4 linked regions of the Nothobranchius furzeri genome follow. The protein of the gene in region 3 purifies or fractionates together with the protein of the main gene of each other region. This does not show direct contact. Links are inferred from orthologs where the notes say so. Each region holds a gene or a part of one and is shown on either strand. Other genes may lie near its edges.

Region 1 (7,690 bases), on a different chromosome or scaffold from region 3:
TGTGGGGGCATTCAAGCAACAGTAACAGACAAACAGCCAGACTTCAGCCTTTGTTGCTATGCGATCTACTCATATGTGCTGCATTGTGGTCACTGGAGTAGAGCGGAAGGCCCATTGGCTCTCGTTGTCTTTGTTTTCACTGTTAATGCTAAAAAACTTATTTCTCTATAAATAAAGAAAAGCTGCACATGTTTTAAGTACTGTTTTCAGTTCACACAGTCTATGAATACATTTCTGACCATTTAAGGGTCAAATAAAACTACAACAGCTGCAGAAAAAGTTAATGATTCCATATCTACTGTATCAGGAGGGAAATATGAGAAAAGCAGCACTGCTGCTGCTGCTCTAAACTAATTGTCTAAAGATAAACCCAAAACGACTCTTAAATAATACAATACTCAGCTCAAAGGCAATAAAACCCAACAGAAAGGTGTTTAGCATCGCAGCAAGAAGCAGCCAGTTCTCAAGTCAGAGTGGGTTAGCCAGAGCAGTGGCGCGCCTAGGAAATTTTCATAGTGGGGGCCAGTGAAAAAAATTTGGGGTGTCCCCCCCGAATTGGTCTCTCTGGTAACTCTGGGAGAGTTTAGCCTGTAGCTGTGCATTGCTCCTTCATTCAATTTCAACAAAAAACAAAAGGCCTATGTATCCAGAACATTTACCTCAAATATAAGAAACACAAACATGAAAGAAAACAACATTTCAAAAATTAATTTCATTTTTTTTTTCAAAATGTATTGTTTTAGGATTTTAAAAAAGCTTTTCAAGTTGCTTGATGCTCTCTCAACAAAATTATCCACAATTTTTTTTGCAAATGGTGAGCCTCAATGACATGCACACGTGTGTGTATATACATACATACATACATACATACATACATACATACATATATGTATGTATATATATATATATATATATATATATATATATATATATATATATATATATATATATATATATAGGTGATTTATCAAATGAATTATTTATTAAAATAAAATAAAATTATTTAGTAAAATTAATTTCCTTTTTTGCTTTAACATTCATGTCTTGATTAAAGAGGATGATTGTTTGATTTGTGTGATTTATTAAGGGGCGAGGACCTTTTATGAGAGGGCCAACAAATTAATTTATCAGGTATGGCCATCCATGGCCCCCATGCCACCCTCGGGTGCGCCACTGAACCAACTACGTCATAAATACGTTTTATTTATTTGCCAAAAAAGGACACAAAGCTAGGTTTTAACAATATGTTTCGAAAAATGCATGGGACGTTGAAAATAAAATTTAAAGGTGATGAATCTGAGAATTGTAGAAATTACAATAACTAACTTCAATGCTTTTAAGAGGAAACAAGTAAAATTCTTTATTAGTAGAAAACGTTGCCTTTGTCGAACAAAACAGATTGAAACTGATACAATAACTTATTTTACCACATTACGTAGCGAAGAAATGTAAATAATTCATTTGGCATCCAAGAGGGTCAAAACTGATTTTGTATAAAGATGAATGCACATAAACTCACATTAGCATTTAAAGGACATGTGGCCTTAATTCTACTTTGGATCTGTTCAATAGTTCATCTTACTCCAACAAGATGGCTCAAAAAGTAAAAAAATGCTGGTTTACCGAGCAGCTGTTGAAGGTTAGCACCCAAACGTGAGCACCCAAACATATGAATGTTTTAGTCATGTTCACAACATTGTACAATGTTTTGTTAGGCGGTGCGGCACAAGTCTAATTTACTGGATTACAAACTAAACTTGGAAAATTAATTTGCATTTGTGTGTTTTTTATGAACCAATGTCAAAACCAGAACCATTCATCACTCTGCACAGGTGTTGCTTGCTCGGGGATGCAGCTGAATACCTGATCGTACATGAGCTGCCGATGGAGTAAATCATACATGAGCTGATGGAGTAAGTTGGAGGAGTCGGGTTGTGATGATGAAGTGGTGAACCAGGAGGCCTCAGCCTCTTTCAGGGTCTGGTTAAACGCTCCAGCTCAGCGGGCCTGTGTGACCTGCGCACCGCGCCGCTGGTATGTGGGCTACCTGTCTGAGCCCCACAAAGGGGCAACACCGGAGTCTTTCTGTTTTTACTTTTAGGCACTCAGTGAGTATTATGGTCTGTCACCAGAGGACTTCACTTCAGCTCCCCTAGAGACCATCAGACTGTTTTTTTTTTTTTTACCTTTTTGTCTATTTAGGTGTTGCATATTATGGGATGTATGCTGCCACTGCTGGAGTATTATGGTCTGTCATGGAGAGCGGGAGGGGGGTGTCACCATGACAACGGGGTTGCTAAGGGGGGGGGGTGGGACTACTAGTGGAAAGGGGAAGGAGTGTGCATGCTATGAGTCTAGTGCACGCATGTCTAGCACCTAGCACTGGCAGTGTACGCGTGTGCGCGCGAATGGTGAAGGGGGGTGGGGGCAGGCTGAGTATTATGGTCTGTCCGTTGCGAGGTAACTATGCAGAGTCCTGTGCGAGTGTGGGAGGGGGGTGGATTATTATGGGATGCCTGTCCCCTTTGTGTGTTTGTGAGGATGTTAGCTAAGCGCTGCCTGTTAAGGTAGGGGGGAAGGAGAAGTGGGGGACGGAGCCGCGTGTTTCGGGTCATTAAGACAAGAACTGCTTGTTACTGCTAACACCACACAGGGATTAATGAATGGACACCAAAGGCCGACAACAGGAGCGGGAACAGTTTAATTTGTGTTGATTCTCGCACCGAGGGAGAACTCACCTCACGCCGGGACTACACGCGCAGTACAGTAAGTTTCCAGTGTGTGACGGTGGAAATTTCAAAGCTTAAACTTTTCTCTAGTGACAAGACGGCTCGCGTTTGCGGTTCCTTTTGAGGCTGTCGTTGAAAGCCACACTTTACTCCCGTGTGGGGCTCTCTACCTGTAAATCAGCTAATGTTAATGTCAAAGCGGGTAAAATCTTTTTAATTTAACTTGCTTGAGAGGACAGGTGGATAATTGGACGGCATGTAAATAACAAACAAGGAAGTTTCGTGCCTGTGCAATGTATTGTTATTTTTATTTATTTTTTTCTCTTGCACCCAGACCCCCCCCCCCCCCGCCTCCTCTCCCTTCCTGGACACCCCCGGTCCATTATCCACCAGTCCCACGTCATTTTCCCTCCTCCCTCGCTGACCGAGGAGCAAGGTTTACGGAGGATTTATTCGGACACCAAGAATTCAAATAGAAACGCTGGGAACATGTCTTGCAGCGAGGATGAGAGGGAGGACTTTGGAGCCGATGACGAGCACTCACTTCTTCACGGTAAGCTCGCCTGCTTTCCTCCCCTCCTGAAGAAGGTCCATCTCTGTGTAACTTGAGCTCGCCTTCAACGCGATGCTAGCGTTAGCCCAAGCTAGCGAGGAGTAGTCGGCTCGGGTCACTCGCCATGATAGATTAGTTAGCTAACTTGGACAGCAGAGTGTTCGGAGTTTTGTTTTTATTTTTTAATTTGTTTTCGTGTAACCCAGCCCACCAGCGTGTCCTCGCCACGGTGGGCGTGAACTGTCAAAGTTTCAACTACAAGTTTCAACCTGCTGTTGTGGCATTTACGCTGTGTATGTGTGCGCGCGTGCTCGGACATTTGCCAGTCGTGCCACGGCGCGCGCGCGGTCTCCTTGTTTTTGTTTTTTTTCTTCCCTCCCCTCTGGTCTGCAGCAGCGGTGCTTTCTGTCCGTCTGTACTCTGCCGGTAACCGTGTCTCTTTACAGACGAGGACGAGCCGGAGGATGCTGTCTCTGACGCAGAAGAGGCACCCAAGTCAAAGAAGAAGAAGAAAGCCAAAAAGAGCAACCGGGAGAGCAGGAGCAGCAAGAGGCAGAGACCCATCCGGGAGGCGAGTTTACCGCTCTGATAAAGTTTTATACATCCAAATAAGCTCTTTTATAAGTTTAGGCCAAAGGTCAAGGTACTGTAGAAGGCATTTAGTCTGTTAAAACTCTATATTTAATACAAAAATAACAAAAATATGTTAAGCTATACAAAGTTATGATGGTGAGCCCCCCCCCCTACACATTCTGCTGTGTTTTATTTTTTGTCACACTTAAATGTTGTAAATAACATTTCAGTGTCAGACAAACGGTCTAATGTCTCAATCATGCTTGAAGGAAGGTTACATTGACACAGATTTTCTAATCAGGCAGCTGGGGGCTGTTAGTTTTTCTCCATTTGACATGGACAAAGAGGGAATTAGTCTTTTTTTTAAATGTGTGAGCCCAGAGCCGGCACAAGGTGACTGCTTGGGGTCCCCAAACAGCACCCAGATGACTTGAAATAATGTTTTAATAACTTTAAATAATACAAATGTGACAGTGTGTGTCCTGTCACAGTGTCCTGATTGATCATGCGCCCTGGCTACTTGGCCAGTGGGATGTCCCTTTGGCTGACTGGTTAGAGCGTATGACTCTCACCCGGGAGTCTGAGGATCGAATCCCGCCTGGGCCCTCGTTTCTCCACCGTGCCACACAAAGTAAATAATGCTAATCCCAGAAAAATAATTAAATATTACTTTCTGTTAACTCATTCACTGCCAGTGACGGCAAAAGACGTCATTTGCATGTTTTTACTGTGTGGGCGTCGGAACGAGCCCCCGCACCGTGAGAACAAACATCTCAGCTCTAAAGCCGATCTTTATCCGCATACGTCACACGTCACATGATCAGGAAGCAGCAAATCCATGTGGTAGGAGATCGTTTTGGGCCGCTGCTGTAAAAAAAAGTGAGGCGCGAACCGGAAAAGCTTCTGCCGATCACAAGTCAACAACGGATTATGAAAGAACGGATAACGCTCAAAACGCGCGGATTCTTCCTGATGTAAGAGGTGAGTTGGTAGTTTTGGCGTCGACATCACCCTAGGGCGCAACATTCTCTGACTCTTTAAAAAAAACTGTAAAAACGGTGAGAAACGCTGGCAGCAAAGGAGTTAAGGATGCACGTTTTCCAAAATGTCTTTAACCGGCTATTGGTGCCCCTTAACAGTTGATAGCCGGTTTATCAGAAACCCTAACTTTAACCAATATATTTGAAATATGTTTATTAATATACCACATTTAAACAACACTGCATTGGGAAATGCTAAAGTAAGCATTTTTGTTGATTCATTACTCCTGTAAAGTTAAAATTAATAGCCATCAAAACACTGATGTGATGTGATCTGTCAGTTTGCCCCAGGACAGCTGTGGCTACATCGTAGCTCATCCCCACCAGCGTGTGTATGGGTGAATGAATGACTGTGTTGTGAAGTGCCTTGGGGGGTTGTAGAGCCCTAAGAAGGCGCTTCGCAAATACAAGCCATTTTTTAAAAATCGTAAGCTGCTTACAAATTATGCTAATGATAGGATGGTACACACATAGTGTGGCCTAGGAATGATGAATCATCTGCTGTTGACTTGTTGGTATGAAGGCCTCCAAGGAAATCCTGCTCAGGGCCCCACAAAGGCTTGGGCAGGTCCTGTGTGAGCCCACGGGGAAGCAGAGTCTGTACTGGCATTTGTTATTCAACACTGGCCGGCAAAAACTCCAGAGTTTGTGATGGGATATTAGCCAGTAAACAGGAGCAACCCAGAAGTTATTTGTTGTACTGCTGAAGCCCGGACTACACTGCATTTTTTGGCCTTCCTAGACAAATCCCTCATTGTGAAGAGAATTGTAACAAAAAATGGTCAGTGTGAGGGTGATTTGCAAGTCTGTGGCCGTCCAGTGTAACCGGCTCTGCAACAGCTTAATGAGCATTCTTACAAAGTCAGCTTGCAGCAGTTTTCAAGCTTTGCTTCAACCTCATCTGTGCCCCAGACAAGCTAGTTCCCAAAGTCAGAGACTCTCTTGGTCAGCTTGCTTCTCACACCAAACCTTCTGTCAGGAATCTTGGCGTGACCTTTGACCCAGCTCTCACCCTGGATTCTCATGTCAGTTCTCTTGTTCGCTCTTCCTTCTTCCATCTCAGGAACGTTGCTAAGCTGAGTTCCATTCTGTCCCGCACTGAACTTGAGACAGTCCTCCACACCTTCATCTCCTCACGCTTAGACTACTGTAACTCTCTTTTCACGTGTCTGAGCAGAACCTCCCTGAACCGTCTACAGGTGGTTCAGAACGCCTGTGCTCGGCTTCTGACCAAGTCCTCCAAACACACCCACATCACCCCGCTTCTCCTCCAGCTTCACTGGCTGCCAGTCAACTTCAGGGTTCATTTCAAGATCCTGGTTCTGGTCTATAGGGCCTTACATGGACAAGCACCATCTTACATTGGTGATCTTCTTAGTCCCTACACCCCCAGCAGGTCCCTGAGGTCCAGTGATCAAAGCCTACTGGTTGTGCAGCACCAGGCTAAAGGTCAAAGGTGACAGATCATTTGCTGCTGTGGCCCCCAGACTCTGGAACTCTCCCCCTGAGCCTGAGATCAGTGGACTCAGTGGTCTCCTTTAAAAAGCAGCTGAAGACACCTGTTCAAGCTGGCTTTTGTATGACCTTCTTCACCTCTCTCTCTTTATTCTGCTCTCCCCACCTATTCCACCTTTTTCAGGATCCACTGATTTCCCTCTTTCCTGTTCACACTCTCTTTCTAAACATTTATTTAAATCACAGTTGCCTATTTTTGCTCATTTTAAATATATTTTTAAACATTTTCTAAATGCTTTTTTATATTTTTACATTTTTTTGCTTTTGTGAAGCGCCTCGTGATTTTTATCTTGAGAGGCGCTATAGAAATAATACTTTCTTCTTCTTCTTCTCACAACTCCTGTCTGCAATTGACCAATGAAAATACAGCCATGGAGTCACGCGAACAGCTCGTGATGAGAGTACAATACAGGGTTTTTCCTGTCTCAAATTGAGGCAGAGGTGGTACCATCCTGACCATGCGCCAGCACATGCATACTCTGTGCATTCAACTGCCTCACTTTTTAATGGCAAAATATTATAAAAGACTCAATAATGTGCATTAGATTGGTGTTTAGTTCCCTTTTTCCCATCTGATATTTATAGTTAAAAAATTTTAAAAATTTTGACCTACATTTCAGTAACATTTTAGGTTTGTTTTAATAACACTCGTCTTAGTCAAAATAACACATAAGTATCTCCAGTAAAATATAATGCATTTCATTAACATGCATTTGTAATGGAAATGGTAATAACATTTAATTTCTGCTGCTAACAATCTAATGGTGGCATGTCTATTATGTACGGGTTGGCAATAATCCTGTTCAAATTATGTTCAAAGATAGAAGCGTTTGTGAATTATATATTACAACGGCTTGTAGGGCTGGGCGATATGGCCTCAAATCTATATTGCGATATAGTCTGAAGCATGTGCGGTAACAATATATATTGCGATATATTTTTTCCTCTGTTTATATATGTCAAAATGACATGCTTTTAAATATCCTCATGTGGCAAATATATGCCACATGAGGCATATAGGCCTCCTCCTCCGCCCACTCCATGCTTGCAGTCACTGCCATTCTGTTGTCCCAATGTCAGCAGGGTGCACCTCTTAGTGACGTGTGTTATCGCGGTATTGCGATATAGCCAAAAACTCTTATTACCCAATTTTATATCGTTTCTATCTTATATCGCTTATATTGCCCACCCCTAACGGCTTGCCATACTTCATGCGTCAGCAGTAATGTGACTCGTATCTGCAGCGGTTCTGATCCATAGCGCTGCAGGTGCAGAATAAA
Region 2 (7,484 bases), on a different chromosome or scaffold from region 3:
TTCTCCGCCTTCACTAACATCTCCGCCAAATACCGAAGACCCGGAACAATGTCCGTCCGCTACGAGATTCTTTTCCTGTTTTGCCCGCCTTCGTCTCCCGGCAACGGACAACTACTTCCGGGGTCAGATGCGCTGCTTCGTCTCTATCGCAGATGTAGAAAATCACCGGGAGCGTTTCTCCCTTCATAAAGGAGCTTCTTTCAGACATGAGGAGAGCTGTTTTGGTGGTAGCAGTCTCTCCTCCGTGCTGGTCTGTTTGCTGCTGGGTATTTTTGGTTTATTTAAACTTGGTAACTTGAACTTAACATTGGTAAAGCTACTGTTAGCATATTCGCTAACAGCTTCTTGTGTTTGTATAAGCTGTTACGTTTTGGTTTAGAGTTAATCTTTTTTGTGGTGTAGATCTCCCTTTTATTACATTTAGAGTTTTGTGGGTTTTCGGTTTAGTTTAAAACATCACCTTGAGTTTGGTTTAACCACCCAGTTTAGAGTTTGGACCTTTGGAGATCCTTATTTTGGTCCAGAACCCAGTAATCTTTGCCCAGTGGGACATCCCTACTTATTCGTACTTTGTTTTAATTCCCCACAGGCAGAATTAGTTTTATTATTCCCAACCTGTGGATGGAAAGATTTAAGTTTTTTTGTAGTTGTAAATAAACCTGATCATCATTTAAACTTTAAAATCCCGTGTTATTGTCCCTTCCTTTTTGCACACGAGCCAAACTCCCCAGGAAGAGTCGTAACACCACTCGCCTCACGCTCATAAGTGACCAAAACAAAGCAGCATAGAGACACCCCCACAGAGCCACCGCAACCCACTACACTACACCTTCTCACCATACTAACCCGATATGGAACACTAAACCCGAACTACTTTCCTAATAACACAAACTAAACTACAATATCCAACAGCCAAACTAACACTAAATAAGTATGTGTAACACTAAAAGCTATGCTAAAGATTAGGATATGCTAATGCTATATGCTAATGCTGAACTACTGCTAACCGTCTTACACTCGCTTGCAAATCCAACTTCCAACTCGCCACAAGGCGTGGCCGAGACTCTCGATGCTTTCATAACTTTGACACAGAGCTGCTACGTAGTACTCTACTGGTTTACGTAGTATCTTTCTCTTTAGTCATTGGCTAAAGTGTATTCAAAATGACTCAAACTCTATGTTTAAAGCTGACGGTGGCGCTATAGTATTTAGGCAGAATTTTTAAAGAAAAGGCACCAAAATGCTAAAATAATGAATACACACATTTAAAACACTATTGGACACTCATTTATACAGTTCATCAGCAAAAAAAAGTTAACTGACGTTACTTGCTCTTTAAGACTGCTGCACACACAAAAAAGACTGCTGCTTGGTGGGCCCCCTTGTGGCTGTGGGTGCAATGATAATCCGGCCTTGATTATCAATAACTAGTATAAGCACATTACATTTATCCCTGTCCTTGTCTTCCTCGTGAAATAAATGAACGTTAATCTTACCCGGTAAAAACATGTTCGCTGCTAGTCCACTTGACGGGCAGTTCATCTCTGTCCTCGGTCTCCATCAAAGTTATTAAAAAAATCAAAACTAGTTGAGTTTACATCCTTGTCTGTTAGTGCAGCCAACAACACAGCAAGCTAAAACCATTTTACTATCAAATCAACTAAATAAAAGCGATAAAAGGCTACAAACTAGCTTGTTTTGACTAGCTTTACTGCAGTTTCAACGGGTGTAAACAATCTTTTTGCCGTCCATCATGGTGAAGGGGGAGGTCACATGAGTGGCGTGACGTCACGTGCAAAGGGTCAATTGCTGGTAGGAGCTTCAGAGTGTGTGTATGCTCCTAAGGGTAGAAATTGTATTATTCCAGAACTAAATCCCGGTAGCATATTCATCGGTAACATATGTCCTTTATTGAGGGATAAAGCCACAAATCAATGTATTAGACAAATCATTCAAAGAGATATTGTTTCCAAACATGCAGCTGTATTTTACTGGAACAATATTTACAATGATATAGACTGGAAAAACACTTGGATTCTACCAAGAAAATTTATTATAACTAATAAGATAAGAGAGGTTTCTTTTAAGTTGATCCACAGATGTTATCCGGTAAAGACATATCTGGTTAAACGTAAGAAAAATATTGATACTCTTTGTACTTTTTGCAGCAATGCAGAGGAAACAATATGTCATTTATTTTGGGAATGCACTTATACACATGTATTTTGAATTGATCTAAATAATTTTATAAACACCAAAATTGATCCCTCTTGTAAATTGAAGTTTCACCATATTCTATTTGGCCTCTCACATACCGATAAAATTATTTCAGGAAAAAAAAATATTATTAATCTTCTGATCATTTTTGCCAAATTTCACATACATTGTACAAAATTCTCTCAACAGCGTCCAAACATATTTGCTTTTAAAGCCCTGTTTTCCAATTATCTGAAGAATCTTAATAACAGTACTAACTCCAAAGCGTGTAAAACACTAGAGCTGTGCCGAATGTATAATTTCACTTGTTTTACTTGTTTATTTGTACCTTGAGCATTTTATTTATTTATTTATTTTTATTTCAAATTTTTATCCAGTTATTTTGTTAATCTGTTTTCTCCTAAAGTATACCTTTTTGTTTAAGTATACATAACTTGTTCAACTTGTTATTACAAGATGTGGAATGTTTATACCCTTTCTATATTCTACAATGCCATGTATGTTTGTTATTCAAATGTCTAAATGAATAAAAAATAATAATAAAATAAAAAAGTGCTGACGAAATGAATGAATGAATAAATAAATAAATAAATAAAAGGAGCTTCAGAGCGTAGGGGGCGAGGGCTTCCGCTGCAGAACGTGTCCTGCGTCACTCGTTCACGTCGTGTTGATTTAGAACCGAGAGTTTATTTATTTATAACTTGACGTAAGGGCGCTAAATCTCAAATAAGCTGCAAATAAAATGTGGACTTCTAAGATCATATTGATGAAGTTACACACATAATAGGTCCGATTCCATTTGTCTTCAGCACAATAAATGTGTTAGGTGTGCGTCAGTTTACGTAAACAAAGTAAGCCCTTGGCTAAATTAGGCTAAATGACACGTTAGCTTAACCGGTGTAGCTAGCTAAATATTAGCGATTTCGAGCAGTTTACTACTTTCCACGAAGAAAAGATCGCAGAACGCAAAATTGTTGTGTTGAATGTGTTGCGGCAAGTGGTGCCTGTTTTAATTCTCAATTCAATAAGAGTCATACGAAGCCAGTTTTTAGCTTAGCATCCCAGTGAAGAGTGGCTATTAACGGTCGTATGTGCTCATTTAGCTTTGGCTAGTTGGCTATGCTAGCATTGTTTGGGAACAGCTCGGACTGCTGTAGTCATTTGCTTTCTTGCCATTGTTTATTATTTGTGACTATAGTAAAGTTTGCATCGTGGGATAATGGCACCTCGCGTACAACTGGAGAAAGCGGCTTGGCGTTGGGTGGAATCGGTAAAACCAGAAGAAATCAAGCAAGAACACATAGAGCTAGCATACCGCATCAACCTCCCGGCCTGCAAGAGAGGAGCCTGCAGGTACTTTAACATTTTTAACACGATCGTTGCGCTTCGCTGCCAGCAAAAACACATTATTGACCATTTCAGTGACCAGCCTCTTATAACGCTGCAAAGACACTAGCCTCGGTTTTCAGTTGTGGTGCTGACAGCACTGCCTAATGCTTACTGGCAGCCTCATAAACAGTAAAAAAAGTTAGAAGTGCCACGTTTATGTGCTGCAGTGCTGTGCTGTTGTTTAGCACCGTGGTGCTTCAGTACCACATCCTTTTGAAACAGAAGCCTTGTTTAAAGTGGCTATGATGACCAGGACTCATTTTCCCCTAGGAGGAATTGCAGAGGGAATCCCAACTGTCTTGTTGGAATTGGTGAACAGGCATGGCTTGGGGAGATAGATGAAAACGTTTTCCATAATATTGATGATCCAAATTCAGAACGGCGGGACAAGGTACTTCTTTCTACTATCTGCTCACTCAGCTAGTGTTTCTTAGGTGTTAATACCACCATTGTTCTATCATCTAGACTAGAGCTGATACCTTAATTCTCCCTGTCTGTCTGTGTGTCTTTATAGAACACCTTTGTTGGTCTGACCAACCTTGGAGCAACATGCTACGTCAACACATTCCTGCAAGTATGGTTCCATAACTTGGAGCTTCGAAGAAGCCTTTACCAGTTCCACAATTCCCGAGCAGAGGAACACAACATTCAATCTGGTATAACTACAACTGTATCTGGGTGTGACCTTTGTTGTGACTTTTTCCAGGTTTTAACCCCAAGAATTAACAGCATCCACCTCAGATACGTGGATTTTCAGAGAGAACCAAAGGCAAATTCCACGTTACACTAGTCATTTTAATTTTAGTAGCTTTAGTTGTACTATATATGTATATATATATATATCTATCCATATATATATATATATATATATATATATATATATATAGATAGATATATATATATCTATATATATATATATATACCGTAAATCCTCTAATACAGGCCTGTATTCAATTAACGGCTGGGTCTCATATTTTGGCCGGTGTCGGAGTCGGCGGAGGTGAATAATGGCCGGTCTCTTATTGTGGCCGGGTGGAATGTGGTAACAAGCAAGTACGGGGGGCGGTTGTGTCATCGTCTCACTTTTGATTTGCCAGTGATAGACCGCGAGGGTAACTTTAACCATGCGGAGACGAAGAGGAGGCGAAAATTTGATATCAAGTTCAAAGAGAACGTGCTGATTATGCTGCAGAACACTGGGGAGCAGTAGGGGTTGTATGAACTAGTGACTAGTCGACTTCACTATAGTGACTTTTTATGCCTGTCATCGACTAGTCGCTGTCACGTGATAATGACCGGCAAGATGCAGCCCTCGGAAAAGACAGCAGCCTGCTGTCAGCAGGTGACAAGCTCCTGCGCATCGGGGGGGGGGGGGGGGGGGGGGGGCAACACGCTGTGCCAGAGCGTCGGTACTGACACGCGATCGTTCATGTCGGTTCATTTCCTTTAATGTTTTCTGTCTTTTATTTGCGCCTGATGTGTTTCGCTGCTGTGGAGCGGGGCGCATCACCTTGTCCTCCGGTGACGAACCGATCACTGATGCGGCCGCCAAGCAGCGAGCACTCCGCTGTTTTTGCGGACGGTAGATCTGCGTCCTGAGCACGGCCACAGTAACATTATCAAATTAGGTGTCGCCACCTCAAAAACTAATTTAACACGCGATTGTTCATATCGGTTCATTTCCTTTTATGTTTTCTGTTTTTTATTTGCACCTGATGCATTTCACTGTGGAGCGGGGCACATCACCTTGTCCTCCGGTGACGCACCGATCACTGATGCGGCCGGCAAGCAGCGAGCACTCCGCTGTTTTTGCGGTCGGTAGATCTTTTAGAACTGCAGTTCAAAGGTAACTCATAAGGTGAATATAAATGAACCCAGGTAGCAGTTTTTCTTTAGGATTGAGAGGAGATGCAGGAAGATAATAAACAGGCAGGACAGAAAAATAGTCAAATAAAAACACGTTAGTTTTTGTACCTGGTGGTTGCAACAAACATACACCATGGACGGTAATCAGAGGTGAGGAACAGAAAATGAAATAATTATTTTAATGTTTAGAGCAGCAGGAACTCTGAGAGGCTGCAGGCACATCAGTGAGTTTGCTGCCGCTGCGCAGGGGGAGGGGGGAGAGGGCTGAAGCAGAAACTACCGTTGTTAAAAGAAATGTGTTTAACTTTGAAAATGTGGGCGCAATTTTAATTGTCAAAAACTCCAGCGAACCATTAGCTCATTTTGCTCAAATAGAAATAGAGGCCTGCCTCTAATTCTGGTCCTCCTTCCAATAAAGGCCTGGAGCTTGGTGAGCTTGAGTCAAATACATGCCCGGGCCTGTATTAGAGGATTTATGGTATATATATATATATATATATATATATATATATATATAGAGAGAGAGAGAGAGAGAGAGAGAGAGAGAGAGAGAGAGAGAGAGAGAGGGAGAGAGGAGAGAGAGAGAGAGAGAGAGAGAGAGAGAGAGAGAGAGAGAGAGAGAGAGAGAGAGAGAGAGACTTAGTTTTTGAACTCTGAATTAAACCAACTATTCAATCTTAATTTTGTACACTGCTCAGTTTCACAATCAAACATATAACCAAAGTAAATTTAACAAGTTAATTATCTGACCAAGTATTAAATATAAAGCAGGTAAAAATAAGTCAATGTCAGTTGACAGTTTGTGTAAAGCAGTGGTGTCCAGTTCTGCCACATGTGATTTACAGTGATTAACAGGTTTCAGCAGAGTTAGAACCTGTAATTCAGCCACTGAATCAGGCATGTCGAAGACAACGAAACCGCGCTGCTCTCCAGGACGAGTGTTGGACACCACTGGTGAAGGGCATCATGATCTCAGAGAAGTGCTATTCAGTTCCAGGCCTCAAGGGCCGGTATTCAACACGTTTTGTGGTTTCTCTGGTCCAGCACACTAGATTCTTCTTTAATCTAGGCAGGCTGGACGCGTCAGGGACACATCAAAAGGGTCCCCGCATCCGCAGTCACTTCGCTAGCCACATTGTACTTGTTGGACAGCACATGCTTCACCCTCCACAAGGCCTCAACCAGAAACCTCAAGAACATCCTCTTACCCCTCACAACCACCACACCCACTCCCTCACCCCCACCTCCAGTTGACAGAGACAGAGTACAAGGTCTAGATGCACCAGCCCGTACCCCCACATGACGCACCGCCTCATCAGCAGACACCTTATGCTCAGCCTGAAACTGCCCCACCTCCACCGCAGTCCTATATGACGCACAAGCCCTAAAAGCTGCTTGATACTCCCACCACAATTACAACAGTGGGTTAAGCCTGGCGGCTTTGGCGGGGGGGGGGGGGGGGGGGGGGTGTTGCGCATTCCGTCCCGCAGTGCTCCTCTGTGAGAGCGGGGGGGGGTGGTTGCACACGTTCCGCTGCTGTTTCTCACCAGTATCAGCTGATGGAGGGCTCTAGTTTTGCTGCGCCGTTCGTGTCAGCGGATACGGTCGGGTCAGGGAGGGGGGCGGGGCATGACGCTTAGCCTGGCGGGTGGGCAAGCAAAGCCTGGCGAGCCGCCAGGCTTATAGAGCCACTGGAGGAAACCCTGGAGTAGTTTATGATTTTTAAAACAGTTTCAGGCCCAAAATGGGACACTTGACAGGTGTGATGCTGACATTGTGGATGAACTCTGCCACACAGACCAAATTAACACAGCCCACCGTGAGGTTGTGCAGCTTTCTTTTGAACGTGACACGAAACGAACCAGTCACATTGCTCAGGCAAACCGAGCTTTCATGTGTTATCAGTCACGTGGTTTTACACAAAATTAAACAAGCCTCAAAGCGGGGCTTTGTGGACACGCCCCCTTCCTGTTCGATACAAGCCTTGACGCCTCGCTTCATTTGTCCCATCA
Region 3 (7,583 bases):
TCTCACATGAGACAATTTCAGCAGTTTTATCCATGACCTTTTCAGTACCTTCCAGAATAAGTCATTTCAAGGCCCTGTCGCTTAAAGAAAACAAGCTAGAGCTGACCATGCCCACCCATCACCCACTCAGACATTCGGGAGGGGCTCGGGGTAGAGCCACTGTTCAACCAACAGCAGCTCATAGGGTTGTGTTGAAAAAAAAAATCGATTCTCATAAAAATTCATGAGGATCAATTAGTACGTCCAAAGATGGATTTACCCAGTTTAAAGACCACTGAGAACTGTTTAAAACAGCTACAAAAGATTATTGGAATGGGACTTTAAGCACCAAAGATTCTTGAAATTTGAATCAATACCCAGCTCTACATGAGAGGTCATTCTTTGCCAATTTCCCCATTTGTGACATCACAAGAAGGACTTTTTGAAACTGCTTGTTTTAGAAACATATTTTCTGAAATCAAACACTGACAGAAAACAGATGGACGGGTTTTTATTCCCACAAATGGAGTGTTTATAGAGGGAGTAGACATTCATATGGCAGCACAAGGATGCAAAAGATGAGTTTTGCATAATATGTCATAATATGTAAGGCAAGTTCTGAATGTTAATATTCAATCTATTTGAAATAAAACAAAAGAAAATGTTAGACCTTAATTCAAAATATCCACTTTATTTTATCTATGTAAAAATATAAATAACTTTAGCCTCAATAAAGTTTAATGGTTACAACTGAAATCACTAATGAACCAAAATGTTAATCTGATCATGAAAAATAAAGCATTAAAAAAATCTGCCTACAGCTAAATGAAAGAAAATAACCTTCAACAGTCAGGAGAAGTCTAAAAATGGATAATACATTATTTTATATACCAAAGAGTCTAAAACTACCCAAGGAGCTGATGTGGAGTCCATCTCATGTTGAGTTTCTGGTCGTATACACCCTCTCATCTAAATACAACTGAAAAAAACTACAAGACAGCTACAATCTAAACTTTGTTGTATAGTTTGTGGATCTATGACATTTCTAGAAGTTGCTCTTTTTATACAATTGTCTCTGAAACCAAGTAAAATTATATTTAAAAACTATGCTTGGTTTACATTAGTGAACTAAGCTCACACTGATCTATAAATGGTAGACTTTGAACAATTAAAGGTCTGGAACGCTCTTTTAGTCATTACATTTGAAGTGGTTACTTATACTTCTCCATTAGCTGTGGAGTGTTGCAAAGAAATTCCTCACCAGTACAACAGAGGGTTGGTGGTTAGGGTAGGGTATTGCACTTTTCTGGGGTATCCTGTCACCATTACAGTCCTGTATCCAGTCCAAGATAGTGTATTTACTATGGAGTTTATATTGTGTTATTTTTGTATTTCAGATTCCTTTTAACATAGACAAATTTGTCCCTCATATTTCGCCACCTCTTTGTGTGTTCGCCACCTTTAAACCCACGTTTCCTGTCATTTCCATCCACAAATAAAACGGTTGCTTTTTACTCCTCTAGTCACGGGTGAATAAAACACTCACATTTTCAGAGATTTTCCACAAGTTATTCTTCAAGCTGCTCTGTGTCTGCTGCTAGATATCTTCGGCACTCTTTATTTTTTGAAGGACAAATGGAGGTGCTGTTGACAAATTTTAAAGAAATGGCCAATCACAAGCTTTACTCGCCTCAGACCAATCTTGAAACGGAGGCATTTGGAGTCAGTCATCCATGCTTTTATTACCTCTCGCCTGGACTGTGTAAACGCCCTCCTAGTTGGTGCTCCGGTCTCTGCCCTGAATCGGCTGCAGGTCGTCGAGAACGCTGCTGCCAGGTTCTTGACAAACATGCACTAACGTAGCTATATTACCCCAGTCCTGACACATCTTCACTGGCACCCTGTCATTTTCCGAGTACAGTTTAAGGTATTGATTTTTGTCTTTAAAGCACTCAACGAAGAAGAAGCTACAATGATGTTCTGCTGAGCTGTGGTGGCCTCATGGAGGGGGCCATCGTCTAGCACAATGCTGCTAACCACTCAAACATTCTCCCTCTCCTGATAATAACGTTTTGCTTTCCTTGACGTTGGATGTGCTACTGCTAGTTTATCCGTTTAATTATAGATCCACTAGGATAAATACAATAAAGTTTATCTCTCACCAAATAGAATATTTACTAAGAAATCACAATGTAACTATAGACACATTACTGTCTGTCTGTCTGTGTGTGTGTGTGTGTGTGTGTGTGTGTGTGTGTGTGTGTGTGTGTGTGTGTGTGTGTGTGTGTTATACTGAGCCAGGATTCTCTGGAGGTTTCTTCCTGTTAAAAGGGAGTTTTCCTCTCCACTGTCGCTTTATGCTTGCTTATTATGAGGATTGCTGTAAAGTCACTAGTCAGTGACTTGATGCAATTTGCTGGGTTCCTTATATAGGAAACATTATTTCTGATTGGCTTAATGAACTGACCTGAATTGGAATGTTTATTATGTGAAGTGCCTTGAGAAGACTCTTGTCGTGATTTGGCGCTATATAAATAAACTTGAATTGAACGACCTGTCACCTCCTAATCTCTCTGACCTGCTCACTCCCTATGTACCCACGCGCACGTTGAGGTCGGCTGGCCTCCTGCTGCTTTGCACTCCCCCGATGCGTTACAAATCATGGGGTGAACGAGCATTTGTACATGCTGCCCCAAAGCTGTGAAACTCTACCTATTACAGTTCGACAGGCTCCATCATTGGCGGTTTTTAAATCTCGTTTAAACACCCACTTCTACGATTTGGCTTTTACGCCGTGAGTCGTTTTGTTTTATTGTATTATTGTTTTGATGTGTTCTTAGTATTCCTCATGTTTTATTTGCTTTTATTGATCGGCATTTTTATCCTCTGTTGTTGCTGCTTTGATGGGTCGTGATTTGGTCCAGCCTGTGCAGCACTTTGGGCAGCTCCCATGCTGCGTTTTAAATGTGCTATATAAACAAACTATGGTATGGTAAGCTTGTAGTTTCTTGTCTTGTTCAACAGATGTTTAAATGGTAAATGGCCTGTATTTGTATAGCGCCTTCTTAGGGTCATACAACCCCCCCCCCCCCCCCCCCCCCCCCCCAAGGCATTTCACAACACAATCAGTCATTCACAAACTGGTGGGGATGAGCTACGATGTAGCCACAGATGCCCTGGGGTGCACTGACAGAAGCGGGGCTGTGGAGCACTGGCGTCACCGATCCCTCTGACCACCACAAGCAGGCAAGGTAGGTTAAGTGTCTTGCCCAAGGACACAATGACAGTGACAAACTGAGCGGGGCTTGAACCTGCAAACTTCCAATTACTGGACAACACGCTCTACCTCCTGAGCTACTGCTGTGTTTAGAAAAGTGGGCTCGACTCTGTCCGTCCTTGGCTGCCTGTTGGAAAGCCCTCTCAACAATGGATAATGGTGTTGCGTGTTTCCGTACTGACGCAGATGGAAAAGTATAAATTTGGCTTAGGCCTTCCAAATCGTGAGCCATGGTGGGTGAGTCCATGGATGTTAAGAGTCAGTGTAATGTAGATCTGTCAGGCTTTTAAAAACCTAGCATTTCACCATCTATTTTCTATCAGATGCCAATGCAGGAGATAGGTGTAGGAGACTATTTTCATGTTCAGCCTGCATGAAAAACTCTGAGTGACCCATTGTAATCAGAAATACGATTTTAAAAAATGGTTTCCAGTGTTCCACACCTTTAATAACACAATACAATACAATTATTGATGTCAAGTTGTTGTTATTGTTGTTGTTAGCCTCAGGGGCAACATGCCGATTATCACTTGTAAGTCGCTTTGGACAAAAGCGTCTGCTAAATACATAAACATAAACAATACATATCTTCCATCATAAGCTGATTAAGTTGTTCAAAATTAGTTTGCACATATGAGAACCAAGATTTACTCTTTTACAGTCATAAAGACAAAATAAAAGCTAAGAAATCTACCAAATGAGGACCAGCTGTACCACTTTGATGAGTGGAAGATCCGAATTCAGGTGTGTGTGATCACATCAAATGGAAAAATCCGCTAGAATGCTTTTAATCATTAGCAGGAACAAACATATTGTCTCTCACCTGAAGTCAGGGATGCCTGCTGAGGTGCTAATTCCAGCTCCAGAGTGGACAACCAAGTACTGAGATTCTTTAATCAGCTGAGCGAGGGCTTCCACTTTTGCTTTTAGCTCCTCCGGATTATCAAAACTCTGGCACAGATCAAAAACACACAATTAAACAATTAGCAAGGGGGCGACTATTGTATACAACCGTGCCAGATGTGTGGCAACAACAAAAGAACACACCATCATCTATCCTCCACCGTGCTTCATAGTGTTTATGTTAAATAACAAAGAGGCTAACACAGCACAGACGGTCTGCTCTACAACACCGTCTTTATATTATTACTCTTAAACGAACCAAACAAAAATGCATTCTCAATGAAAGCGACGCTACGTTGCTAATTTAACTAGCTCTTTGAAAAGCTCTCGGAGCGATACAACACCTAAATGTTACCTCAGGTAGACCGCAAACACCCTTATCCGCGTAAGGCGATAGTCCTGCAGCGTAGTTCACAGACATGACTGTAACTGTTTATTTTTTTTTTCTTTGTTTTACAAACTGTTCTTGTTTTATCTGTTGCGTATTTCTTCCAGCCAGGTTTAGGGTGCTTCGTTTGAATGACGACATCACTGTGCGCCGACACATGCTGCATTCAAGAACTTCAGGAATTAAAATACCTCAACGTGCGCTCCACCTTCGTTCAGACCAGTTTAGACTTGTGGTAGAGATTAGATTAGACCGTACAGCTGTTAGAAATTGAGTAAAAATTTAAATCCAAATTACACAATGAAACTGAATATATTAGAATAAAAAGTCTGATAATAAAAACTGAAAAATCCCACAGAACAAAACGGTTCGGTGCCTTTTAAAAATGGGATTTAACCTGATCAGACATTCCACAAACAAGGACATTTATTCTCAAACATATCTGTAAAATGACTACATTTAGACTAAAACTAAACAAAAATCTTCCATCTTCACCTGCAGAACAACTTTTAAAAAATCATTTAAATGACTCCAAGCTTTAAAAACAGTATGCATTTTTCTTTCAAATTAATCTTTATTTTTCATTTTTAAATATTTGAGAAAAAAAAAACAGACAGAAAAGTAAAACCATATGGTGATCATTCATACGTGTGCATATTGGATTATGGTTCCTGTAGAAGCTGTGAACTGACACTGAAGACCACCGAAAGAGGAAAGGAGTTGCTCGTCTCAATTGTTTTGTCGCGTATAATTTTATCCTGAGTAATTCAATATGATGTCCCAATTAAAGTAAATAAAACAATAATGCTTACTGAAGACAAAATTACACATAGGACATCCACACACTCTAAAAACAAAATCAAAACCACTCTTACAAAAAAATAAATCAATAAAGGGGGCTAACATTTCATTTTCAGTTGTAGGGCTGAAGAAGTTTGATCTCGGTAGTACACACCGACACAAGACTACCTATTCCAGTGCATGCCGAACATCTAACAAAGAAAAACTAAAATCATAGGGCCTGCAAGAAAGCAAAAAGAGAAACATCTGGCAAAGCGTATTAAAATTTAATTTACACTCTGCTTTAGTTCTTCGGGTCCATCAGGCGGCTCAGAGAGCAACGCTGAGGAGAAATACAATTCTAATCAATAATTAGTTCTGCCCCTCTAACCTTCAACAACTTGATTATTACACAACTTTAATAACAAGTTCATTCAAAAAAACACAACCCCACACTGAGTGACAGAAAAACACATCCAAGATAAAAACCCAGCAGAGATCAATTTCATGTTTTAGTAAGAATGTTCATATGAGGAGCTGACTCAGCAGACTCCAGCAGACGGGACGGCCCTCCATTGCCACGAGTCTCTCATGACGTTGGGAAACAGTCCACCAATTTAAAAAATAAAAATAAAAAGACAAAAAGCTTTCAAAGAAGTTCTGGCATGCATGAGAACTTTGAACATACTGTCCATGAAAACTCCTCCATGTCCTGCCAATCAAAGACAGAAACTGTAAAATATGGGACACTTGCAGTCCTTTGTCCATCTTGAAGTCTGTAAAAGTTTCCACCACGAGGCGGACAACCAGTGAGACACCCCCAGTTACAATTAGAGAAATACAGCTATGCAAAACAGGTGAAGTGATGGTTTAAGAGTTTGCACCAGTTCAGTGATCATGAAACCCAACCAAAAATATTTCATACTAAAACCAGGACTGGATTTTGTGAGCAAAGTAAGCTTCAGTGTGATGAAAAGTTCTCGAAGTTGGAAAAAAAAATTGGTGGCTGTGCTGGTGCAAAAGTGACCACAGTCTGACCCTCTCGCAACGAGGCATCAGTTTTAACCTCTGAGGCTGAAGGAAAAAAGCTCTTGTACTGATTTAGAAGGAAGCTTCCAATCTCTCTTGGTTGCAAACCAAGAATATCTGGCAACCCAGGAAGAGTTAAAGGATGAGCATTCGTCAGCTAGGTTGGGTTTTCTGACAACAAGAATGTCACGACTCCTCATTGCCCGAGTCATCCTCGTCATAGCAACAGTCGCCGTCTCCCCCCTCCACGTCATCGTCTTCATAGTAATAGTCATAGAAGAGGTCAGAGCCTTCGTCTGGCGGCGGGGCGCGTGTACGAACGCAGTATTCAGCTAGCGTGGTGGGCACCTTCACGCCATCTCGCTCTGCTTCTGCCTTTGTGGCCAGCACCTGTTTCCTGAAGGGATTTGTTTTATGAAGACTGAATTACTTTTGTGTGGATGGTGTGGCTTTGAAAATCTTTTAGAAATATTTGAGGTTTGTCTTAAATAACATTACACTAATGTTTACCTGATGATCTCTACATATTCCCGGTCCTTGCCTTTGCTGTCTCTCCATTTCCGGTACATGACAGAGGCGTCCACGTTGGCAGGGGAGAAGGTGTTGGGTTCATTTAGCAGCGAGATCACGCTCAGCAAAATGGTCCTAGAAGCAAAAAACAAAGGCAACTTAGTATAGAACCATAAGAAAACGACTTTAGGTGAATTAAAAAGTTTTAAACACATAAAAAATATTTTAATGTCACAAGCCTAAATTACTTATTTCATCTACTATTTTATTAGAATAAACAATGAAGCACATATTACATTAGGAACTTAAAGCTAATTGATAAAACATGTATTAAAAAAACCTGTCAGACCCATGTGCTACCACCCTACCAGAATCAGAATCAGAATAGGTTTATTGCCATTTTCAGTGAACAAACAATTCACAAACTAGGAACTTGCTTCGGCACTAATGTGCTACATATAACATGAATAATAAGATTAAAAATAGAATAAAATAGAATAAAATATAATAATTAAAAAAACTAGAATAAAACTTTCAGCTAAAATGGCAGGTAATGGTAACATGGCCGATAACGTGACGTTGTGTCGAGTACAGAAGACCAGCATGGTTGTGTGTTTATAATCTATTCACAAGTCTAACGGCAGATGGAAAGAAGCTGTTCTTATGGCAGGAGGTTCTGGTCCGGATGGACCGTAACCTCCTGCCTGAGGGAAGCGG
Region 4 (7,398 bases), on a different chromosome or scaffold from region 3:
TATGAACATTGTCTTTTGTTGACGGCCAAAAGTACAGAGACAGCGAAATATACAAGAAGGTAACCGAAAAGAATGAACCGGAAATGACGGATATTGCGTCTTGACGTAGTCCATACGTCCTGATGCTACCCCAATGTCCGCATTTAAATCGGGTTATGCAAGTTAGGGGTAACTCTTTCTATTTATGCTTGTAAACGGGTTATTCTGATCAACTCAGAAACCCGAATACCTATCTTAACCCGATCATAACCCGGATATTGGCTGCATGTAAACGTAGTCAATGACTGTGATTGGTCAAATGGCGACTCGTGACCCACTAACAAAGATGGGTTTGTGAAGAAGATGAACACTCCTCATTTTTCTGAAACAGATTCTTATAAAGAGCGACTGAAACCCGATCAGACTCACCTTCCCTAAAACAAAAAGTCTTTCATTCCCATGAACGCATTTGGTTTCATAAACGGCAATTTTCGCCAACATTTTTTTCAAGTTAGCAACCAAATTTAAGACTTCACTAAATCGATTTAAGACATTTAAGGGTCTTAATTTTCCTTTCATCAAATTCATGACTTTTAAGACGCCGCGGATACCCTGATCAATGGAATAATAAACTGATTTTAAATGAATGTTTTAGAGGGATTATTTCTCTACCTTAGACCCATCCCCATGGACCAGTTTAACCATTGTTACAAATAATCTGCTCCAGTAAACCATCAATATACAGTTTCTATAGATCTCAAAAAATGGAAAATGGTGGATGTTAAAGGCAGAGTGTGCAATATTTTTACTTGTTTACTATCAAATTCTGTGTTCACAAACTTGACCTTTGTCATTAACAAATCTCACCAAAGTCCATTCTAAATATTCATATTAGCTTTAAATGTTACGTTTTTATAAACATAAAAGAAGGTTGACACTGTCCATTAACCATCTTAATTACCATTGCTGTTTAGGGACTTACAAGATACAATGCTCCACGTTTTGCCTTTGTGCTTTGGCATGAAAGTTCTTCCTCTTTGGTTTCTTGCTCTGCTTGAACTACATGTGATCGCTGGATTGAAAACTGGAAGGGAGTCCATGAATGCCAAGTGACAGTGTGACGCAGATACGTCAAGGACTTTCTAACCCTAGAGCTTCACCGTCAGAAGCTAATGCAGCAGATTGGTGTAGGAGACTATTTTCATGTTCAGCCTGCTTGAAAAACCCAAAGTGACCGATTATGAACAGAAATATTAAAAAAATGTTTTTTAAACCTCTTTTAAACTTGCTACATTACACCAATTTCAGAGAGAAAAATGTTTAGGTCATAAAACAAAACAGTTTCTCACCTTCTGGAGGCTCAGAGTCAGAGTCACCAAACACCTCGTCTTGGTAACGAAACACGTCGTTGTGGACGTAGAATTTATTTGCCACCGTACCCTGGAAAAACATGCATGTGAATAAACTGATCAGATCAATGAAAAAAATATATTAATAATCTAATACCAACCTCTGGTGCCAGAACGAAGGTCTGCATGAACTTCCTCATGGGCTGCATGTTATTAGACAGCTCGCCCATCACCTGCACCACCACGCCTTCGTTCAGAGTAGCGTGAGCGTCCACATGTCTGATCTTAGTGTGGCAGTCTCGGAAACTCAAAGCCATCACTCTTTTATGGATCTCCTGATAAAAAAAAAATTCAAAAGATTTAACGAACTGAAGATTTAATTTGGGCATTTAACAGCAATCAATCATTTCTCAATTATCCAACTACATGACAAGAGCGATAATGGTTATTTTAACAAGCATTAGAATAAAACAATTTACGTGAGGATTAATAAATCAGAAAGTACTGATAAACATTCATCAGAATGTTAAACTACCTAGAAAACTTAGTTTCTGGAAGAAAAAAACAAGTGTGTAACAATGACTCTTGAAAAGAAAATATATTCATGAATATTTCACATTCTAGATTCATGAGACTATGAGACACACCTAACAGGCCTTTTCCAACAGCACTACTCAGGCTAAAACAGCTCAGTGCAGCGTGGGTTAACTCGGCTCACCACAGAGTACTTGGCTTTCCTTGCCTGCTCAGAGACAAAAAGTGGGTGCACCCCTCATAGCGGATGGGGGGGACCACAGCATTTGCTTGTGCAGGGATCTTTACGCGACAAAAATAGCACAAGGTCATCAGTACACACTGTGAGGTGACCTGCATGCTCCACAGAAACAACTCTGCACAAAAATAAAGGTGATGTTGAACACTCTTCAGTTTTATGGTTTCAGACAGCAGACAGAAGGCTCTGGAGCAACCAGTGACTCCGCCCCCTAGCCAATCAGTGGCCGACAGTCGAAATACCGGTTCAGCTCTTGGAACCAAAACAGAGGGACTGAAAAGTAGAGGGAAAGCAGGGGAAAAATACCAAAACGCGCCGTTGGACAAAAGCAATCAGACCAAACCGAACCCTCCCGAGTTGCACCAAGTATTGCCGCTGGAAAATGCCTCTAACTGGGTGAAGCCCACTTACAGATTGTCCATAAACCGCCTCTACTGGTTTGCCGTTGCTGTCCAGGCCACCATGCACATAGGAGGAGTTCTTTCCGTAAAACCTGAACAAAAAGACAAACTAGTTGTTTGTACAAATATTTAACAATTTATCATAAAACCATTTAAACTTCAAAATCAAACCCTCCACAAGCAGCTGACTTCCGTACCTGTGCAGGTAGTCGGGGGCCTGGTTCAGGAGTGTGTAATACTGTCGGACAAACTCTCGCCCGACCAGCTGGGCACTTGGCTTCTCCATCACCATTTCTTTGGTCAACTGGAAATCTCTGCAAATAAGAAAAGTGTCACTGACAAAGAAAATGACGGACTGTGATTCCAAGTAGGGACAAAGAAACTGGTGATTTGATCCAAGAATCAGAATAAAATAACTTCATTAATCCGACAGTGGAGAAATTCATAAGGCAGCTACTTCCACAGACTACAGAGAGTGAAATCATTAGTCTTGATATATTTACATCAATTTGTAAAAATGAAATAAAAACTTGTAGCTCAGGTTCCTGATCAAAGACAATATTTTTAACTGTAAAATGTTTTAATGTAAACATTGATAACTAATAGTCATCAAAAACTATTGTCTTCATTTAGTTTTTAACAATCCTGCAACAATAATTTTGGCACCTAGCGTTATGCAGCACATTATGGCAACATTTGATGAATGAGTTGGTGAGAGAACCTGTTTCTGCTCAGGCAGGAGGCAAATAAAGAACAGGTAATCAAACCTGAGAATTTACGTTAGTCACATAGAAGCTACGGTCTAATCCTTCTTCTATCAGATCATTCAGAACCAGAAATGAGCATCCTCATAAAGACAACCAGCGAAATCCCATCCATCATGAAATGAAACCGAGTTAAAGAAACAAGCAAAGCAATCCATCGAGATCAGAATGTGCCACCGGGCCACGATGCGCGCAGAGGATAAGCTTGGACTTGTGTTTATTATCTTAAGTCACGGTCTTGAGTAAAGGTGCTCGAACTGTAAGCAGACAAAGGCCACGCCGTGCCAGCCGTGATGGAGTCATGGAGGCCCCCGCTCGCCTCAGGGACTAAAGGCCAGTCCGGCGGCCGTTACCAGATATAACCTGAGCACACATGGCACGACGCCCGGCCACACCACGGAGCTGAACAACGACAGCTGGAGCAGCTCACGGCCTCAAAGCTGAACAGAGACCCGTCTGCTGCTAGGTTACGGAAGGAGCCCCAGCACGTGTCCCGCACGGTCCCTGGTCTAACCTTTCGCTTTTAGCGACCACACACCCAAGGTGGTAGTTTATACACAAATAAAACCAACGAAACACTACCAAATTCGGTTCGATCATACAATTCCAAATGTGGAAAGTAATATTGTAAAGAAAGAAAACGGGAGTCACGACTGAAAGGGCGGTGGCTATTTCCTGAAATAGCAAAAGCGAAACTTGGGGATTAATAATTATTTTCAAATAAGTTACAATTTCAAACTTTCAGTAACAGCCTTGTGTTTTAAATAATTTAATAATTAAGCGAACTGCACAGTTATAACACCTATGTAATAGCTTAGCTACAATGGCCAAAACCAGCTAACATCATCGCAAGGCCAGAAAATAGACGGAGACCGGGACGCCAACCCAGTTAATCAAATAAGCGCGGCGAAATGAAAATTTGCTTTTTCGAAAATAGGATAGCATAAATAGGAACGAAACAACTCACCAACTGATCAAACTATTAAAATGAAAACGTTGCTTTGAAATAATGTGACTTTTTTTAACCAGCGTAGCAGCTGCCTGTTAACTAGCGGCTTCACAACGTGCTGGAGTACCCGGATACCGGTGGTTTCACCCTCGCAATCGCAACTGAACATGATGTCCCGCCTCTCAGAGCTTCTCTGGCCAATAAGATTAAGGTTTTAGTCAGCAACCAATTAAATAAAGCGCCAAGGAGTATCCCGGATGAAAATGGAAGTTTGAGTAACGGTTTAAGGTGCGATGGTTTTAAGAACTGGCGTCTCCCGTAGTCAATATGCACTGTTACATTTTCTCCACTTGGAGGCGACAAAAGTGTTTGGCCAACATTTGAGCTAATGTAATTTGTGGAAGATTGATGCAAGCGCGTTTTATCTGAGATTAGACTGATTTATGCTGATTCTGTCTCGAAACAAAACAATTCAGACGTTATGTCAACTAAAATGAAAAGCAAAAGAGTTACAAATGTATAAATATTTGGACAACTTTTTAAACACCTAACATGGAACATTTGAGACAACATTGATTGAACAATATTTATGTTGGTACTGAAATCTTCAGATTCCCCCTTCTCTGTGTCATAATATTCATTGTGAATGTCATAACGTGATTTTTTTAAGTTTGTTTCTTTCATTAAAAAATTGTTGTTTTTTTTATTATTTCTTGAGTTTGTTTCTGTTCTTAGCTCTGTTAACTTTGGAGGGGTCAATAGACTGCCTGGGAAATTTGTCCTTTTAGAAACTTTTATAACTTGTAATAATTATTTAGGAAAAAAGAAATTCAAAATGAAATAATTGAATATTGTGGAGCTGGAAAAGAAATCCTCCAGAGTCATTCCTCACATATGATATCTTAAGTATTAGATTCATGTGTAGTACAAATGTTTTGCTAATGTGCTTTTTTTATGGAAACTGGAAAGAAATCTATCTAATCAGCTATTATCTATTAATCACTAATTAATCCAGCTGTAATTATTGACAATCCTAAAAAAGTTAGCCAGAACACAGATGATGGTTCTTTAAAAAAAATTCAAACATCAAATCTAAAAGGTGCCACTTCAAATGTTTAACTCACCTGTATTTTTTATTTTTTATTTCGTAGTTTTTGTTAAATTCTTAAAATTCTCCTTAAAACCACACCTATGACTTTATGACCTGAATGAGATTTTAATGTGTTAAATCACCAAACCTTCTCTTCAACAGCATGATGAACTCATTATTTTTTCCCTGCTGTGGCAGAGAGGAGGGACTTCAGGCTTCATGGGCCCTGGGGTTGTTTCACATTCCTGACGCTGGAGTCTGGATGAGCGGGTGGAGATGGTAACAGGGTGCTCCGGATCTCCCTCTGCTGTCTCCCAGGGGACCACGAGCAGCCTTAGCCAGGGAAAATGAAACCTCTCAGTGCAACAACGTTGAACAGACAGACTGAAGACATGAACAACCTTAAATGGCAGTCAGATCTGAACAGCGTGTTCTCATGTTGAATTGGCTCATTCAAGCCGATTTTCATAGACACACCTTCAATTCATGCAGCCAGGATTTTCTGATGTTACAAATAAGTGTTCAGTGCAAACTTTTAATTACTCACATCACATTACAATGTCAAAAAGAGTTTAGCTTGACACACAGTGTTTAATCCCTGTCTTTGCTTTCTTATCACAATTTTTAAGACTTTTTCGTTTGCGTTCTGATCAGAGATGGTGCAAAATGATCAACCAAATTCGAGGCTTCACTAATTATTTTAATGTGAAAAGCAGTTGTGATGAGGAAGAGTTCTGAAGCAGCTGCATGGAGAGAAACCTTTAGAAATCCTAAATGGAAGACCAAAGAACAATTCAAAGTAACCAAAGCAGAAAGTGTAACCTAAGTTCTGCAGAAACCTGGACTATCTGGACCAGAGCAGAACACCGGCTTAAGTAAACAACATGACTAACAAAACAAGCAGAGTATTTATATGGAGGTCATAAATTCCACATCAATAATGGGTGTGAATACACACTGGGACCAGAAAAGCTCAGGAGTACGTGGAATACAAAACTACATGGGACAAGTTATTAAGAAATAAAAAGAGAACAAATAGAAATAAAAGCATTTCAGATAACACAAAAATCTCTGTAGGTAGAATATATTATTAAAAAAAACATCTATGACGCTCTTCTAAACAAGAAAAGGTCCCTTTGGACGCTGTCTGCTGTAAATTAAATATGCTGAGCAGCAGAATCCCAGTTCCTTTTGTTTCTGTCCTCTTGTGTCGTCCTACAGACCACCTCCTCTCCTGAGTCAGTTCTTGTTACATAAGGTCTCCATTCATGCTCAGGATGGACCATTTATTATGATCACAGAACTGATCAGCTCAGTCTCACTCAAACTGAACTGGACCATCCCGAGGTTTTTAACTGGAATAAACTCGACGTGATATTAAACCGAATTAGAATGGATCTGGTCCCAAAAGAAAAAAAAGAGTAAAAGAAATTTTTTTAAATATGTTTTTATATTTGATTTAATTTAATGATACTGCTCCACTCCTCCTTGAACCGTCACCTTATCGTGATGGAGGAGTTTGAGTGCCCTAATGATCCTAGGAGCTATGTTGTCTGGGGCACTTTGTGCCCCTGGTAGGGTCTCCCATGACAAATTGGTCTTAGGTGAAGGGTGAGACAAAGAACAGTTCACAGGATCTTTCATGGAGGTAAAGTCAAAGAGTCGGAGTACCCGGCCCGGAGGGTTACCGGGGTTCCACCCTGGAGCCAGGCCTGGGGTTGGGGCCCGTGAGCGAGCGCCTAGTGGCCGGGCTTTCGCCCATGGGGCCCAGCCTGAACTGGATACATGGGCTCATCCAGCTGTGGGCCCACCACCCGCAGGAGGAACATGAAGGGTCCGGTGCAATGTGGATCGGGTGGCAGACCGAGGCGGGAGCCTTGGCGGTCCGATCCCCGGACAAGAAAACTGGTTTTTGGGACATGGAACATCACCTCGCTGGCGGGGAAGGAGCAGGAGCTTGTGGCAGAGGTTGTGCGGTACCGGCTAGATATAGTCGGACTCACCTCGACACATAGTATTGGCTCTGGAACCCAAGTCCTTGAGAGGGGTTGGACACTTTCCTTTGCTGGAGTTGCTCCGGGTGAGAGGCGGAGG

The links.
Region 1: the proteins of sirt6 (region 3) and chd4b purify together in Homo sapiens (affinity purification with mass spectrometry; 3 studies listed by BioGRID, with this or other methods). This does not show direct contact. The link is inferred for Nothobranchius furzeri from reciprocal best matches to the Homo sapiens genes SIRT6 and CHD4.
Region 2: the proteins of sirt6 (region 3) and usp48 purify together in Homo sapiens (affinity purification with mass spectrometry; 3 studies listed by BioGRID, with this or other methods). This does not show direct contact. The link is inferred for Nothobranchius furzeri from reciprocal best matches to the Homo sapiens genes SIRT6 and USP48.
Region 4: the proteins of sirt6 (region 3) and g3bp1 purify together in Homo sapiens (affinity purification with mass spectrometry; 3 studies listed by BioGRID and IntAct, with this or other methods). This does not show direct contact. The link is inferred for Nothobranchius furzeri from reciprocal best matches to the Homo sapiens genes SIRT6 and G3BP1.

What each region holds. Positions count from the first base shown.
Region 1 is NC_091745.1:74,030,464-74,038,153, reverse strand, and holds the start of chd4b (chromodomain-helicase-DNA-binding protein 4), read left to right. Parts: upstream 1-3,069; 5' UTR 3,070-3,218; coding exon 3,219-3,282; intron 3,283-3,728; coding exon 3,729-3,853; intron 3,854-7,690. UniProt on the Homo sapiens protein: ATP-dependent chromatin-remodeling factor that binds and distorts nucleosomal DNA. Acts as a component of the histone deacetylase NuRD complex which participates in the remodeling of chromatin.
Region 2 is NC_091743.1:4,789,644-4,797,127, reverse strand, and holds the start of usp48 (ubiquitin carboxyl-terminal hydrolase 48), read left to right. Parts: upstream 1-2,921; 5' UTR 2,922-3,436; coding exon 3,437-3,570; intron 3,571-3,876; coding exon 3,877-3,997; intron 3,998-4,120; coding exon 4,121-4,262; intron 4,263-7,484.
Region 3 is NC_091751.1:57,911,378-57,918,960, reverse strand, and holds the start of sirt6 (NAD-dependent protein deacylase sirtuin-6), read right to left. Parts: upstream 4,655-7,583; 5' UTR 4,581-4,654; coding exon 4,515-4,580; intron 4,208-4,514; coding exon 4,080-4,207; intron 1-4,079. Other genes in the region: cdc34b (cell division cycle 34 homolog (S. cerevisiae) b), read right to left, coding at 6,543-6,753, 6,867-7,001. UniProt on the Homo sapiens protein: NAD-dependent protein deacetylase, deacylase and mono-ADP-ribosyltransferase that plays an essential role in DNA damage repair, telomere maintenance, metabolic homeostasis, inflammation, tumorigenesis and aging.
Region 4 is NC_091741.1:69,281,447-69,288,844, forward strand, and holds the start of g3bp1 (ras GTPase-activating protein-binding protein 1), read right to left. Parts: upstream 4,368-7,398; 5' UTR 4,233-4,367; intron 2,816-4,232; 5' UTR 2,794-2,815; coding exon 2,699-2,793; intron 2,594-2,698; coding exon 2,512-2,593; intron 1,664-2,511; coding exon 1,490-1,663; intron 1,420-1,489; coding exon 1,329-1,419; intron 1-1,328. UniProt on the Homo sapiens protein: Protein involved in various processes, such as stress granule formation and innate immunity. Plays an essential role in stress granule formation.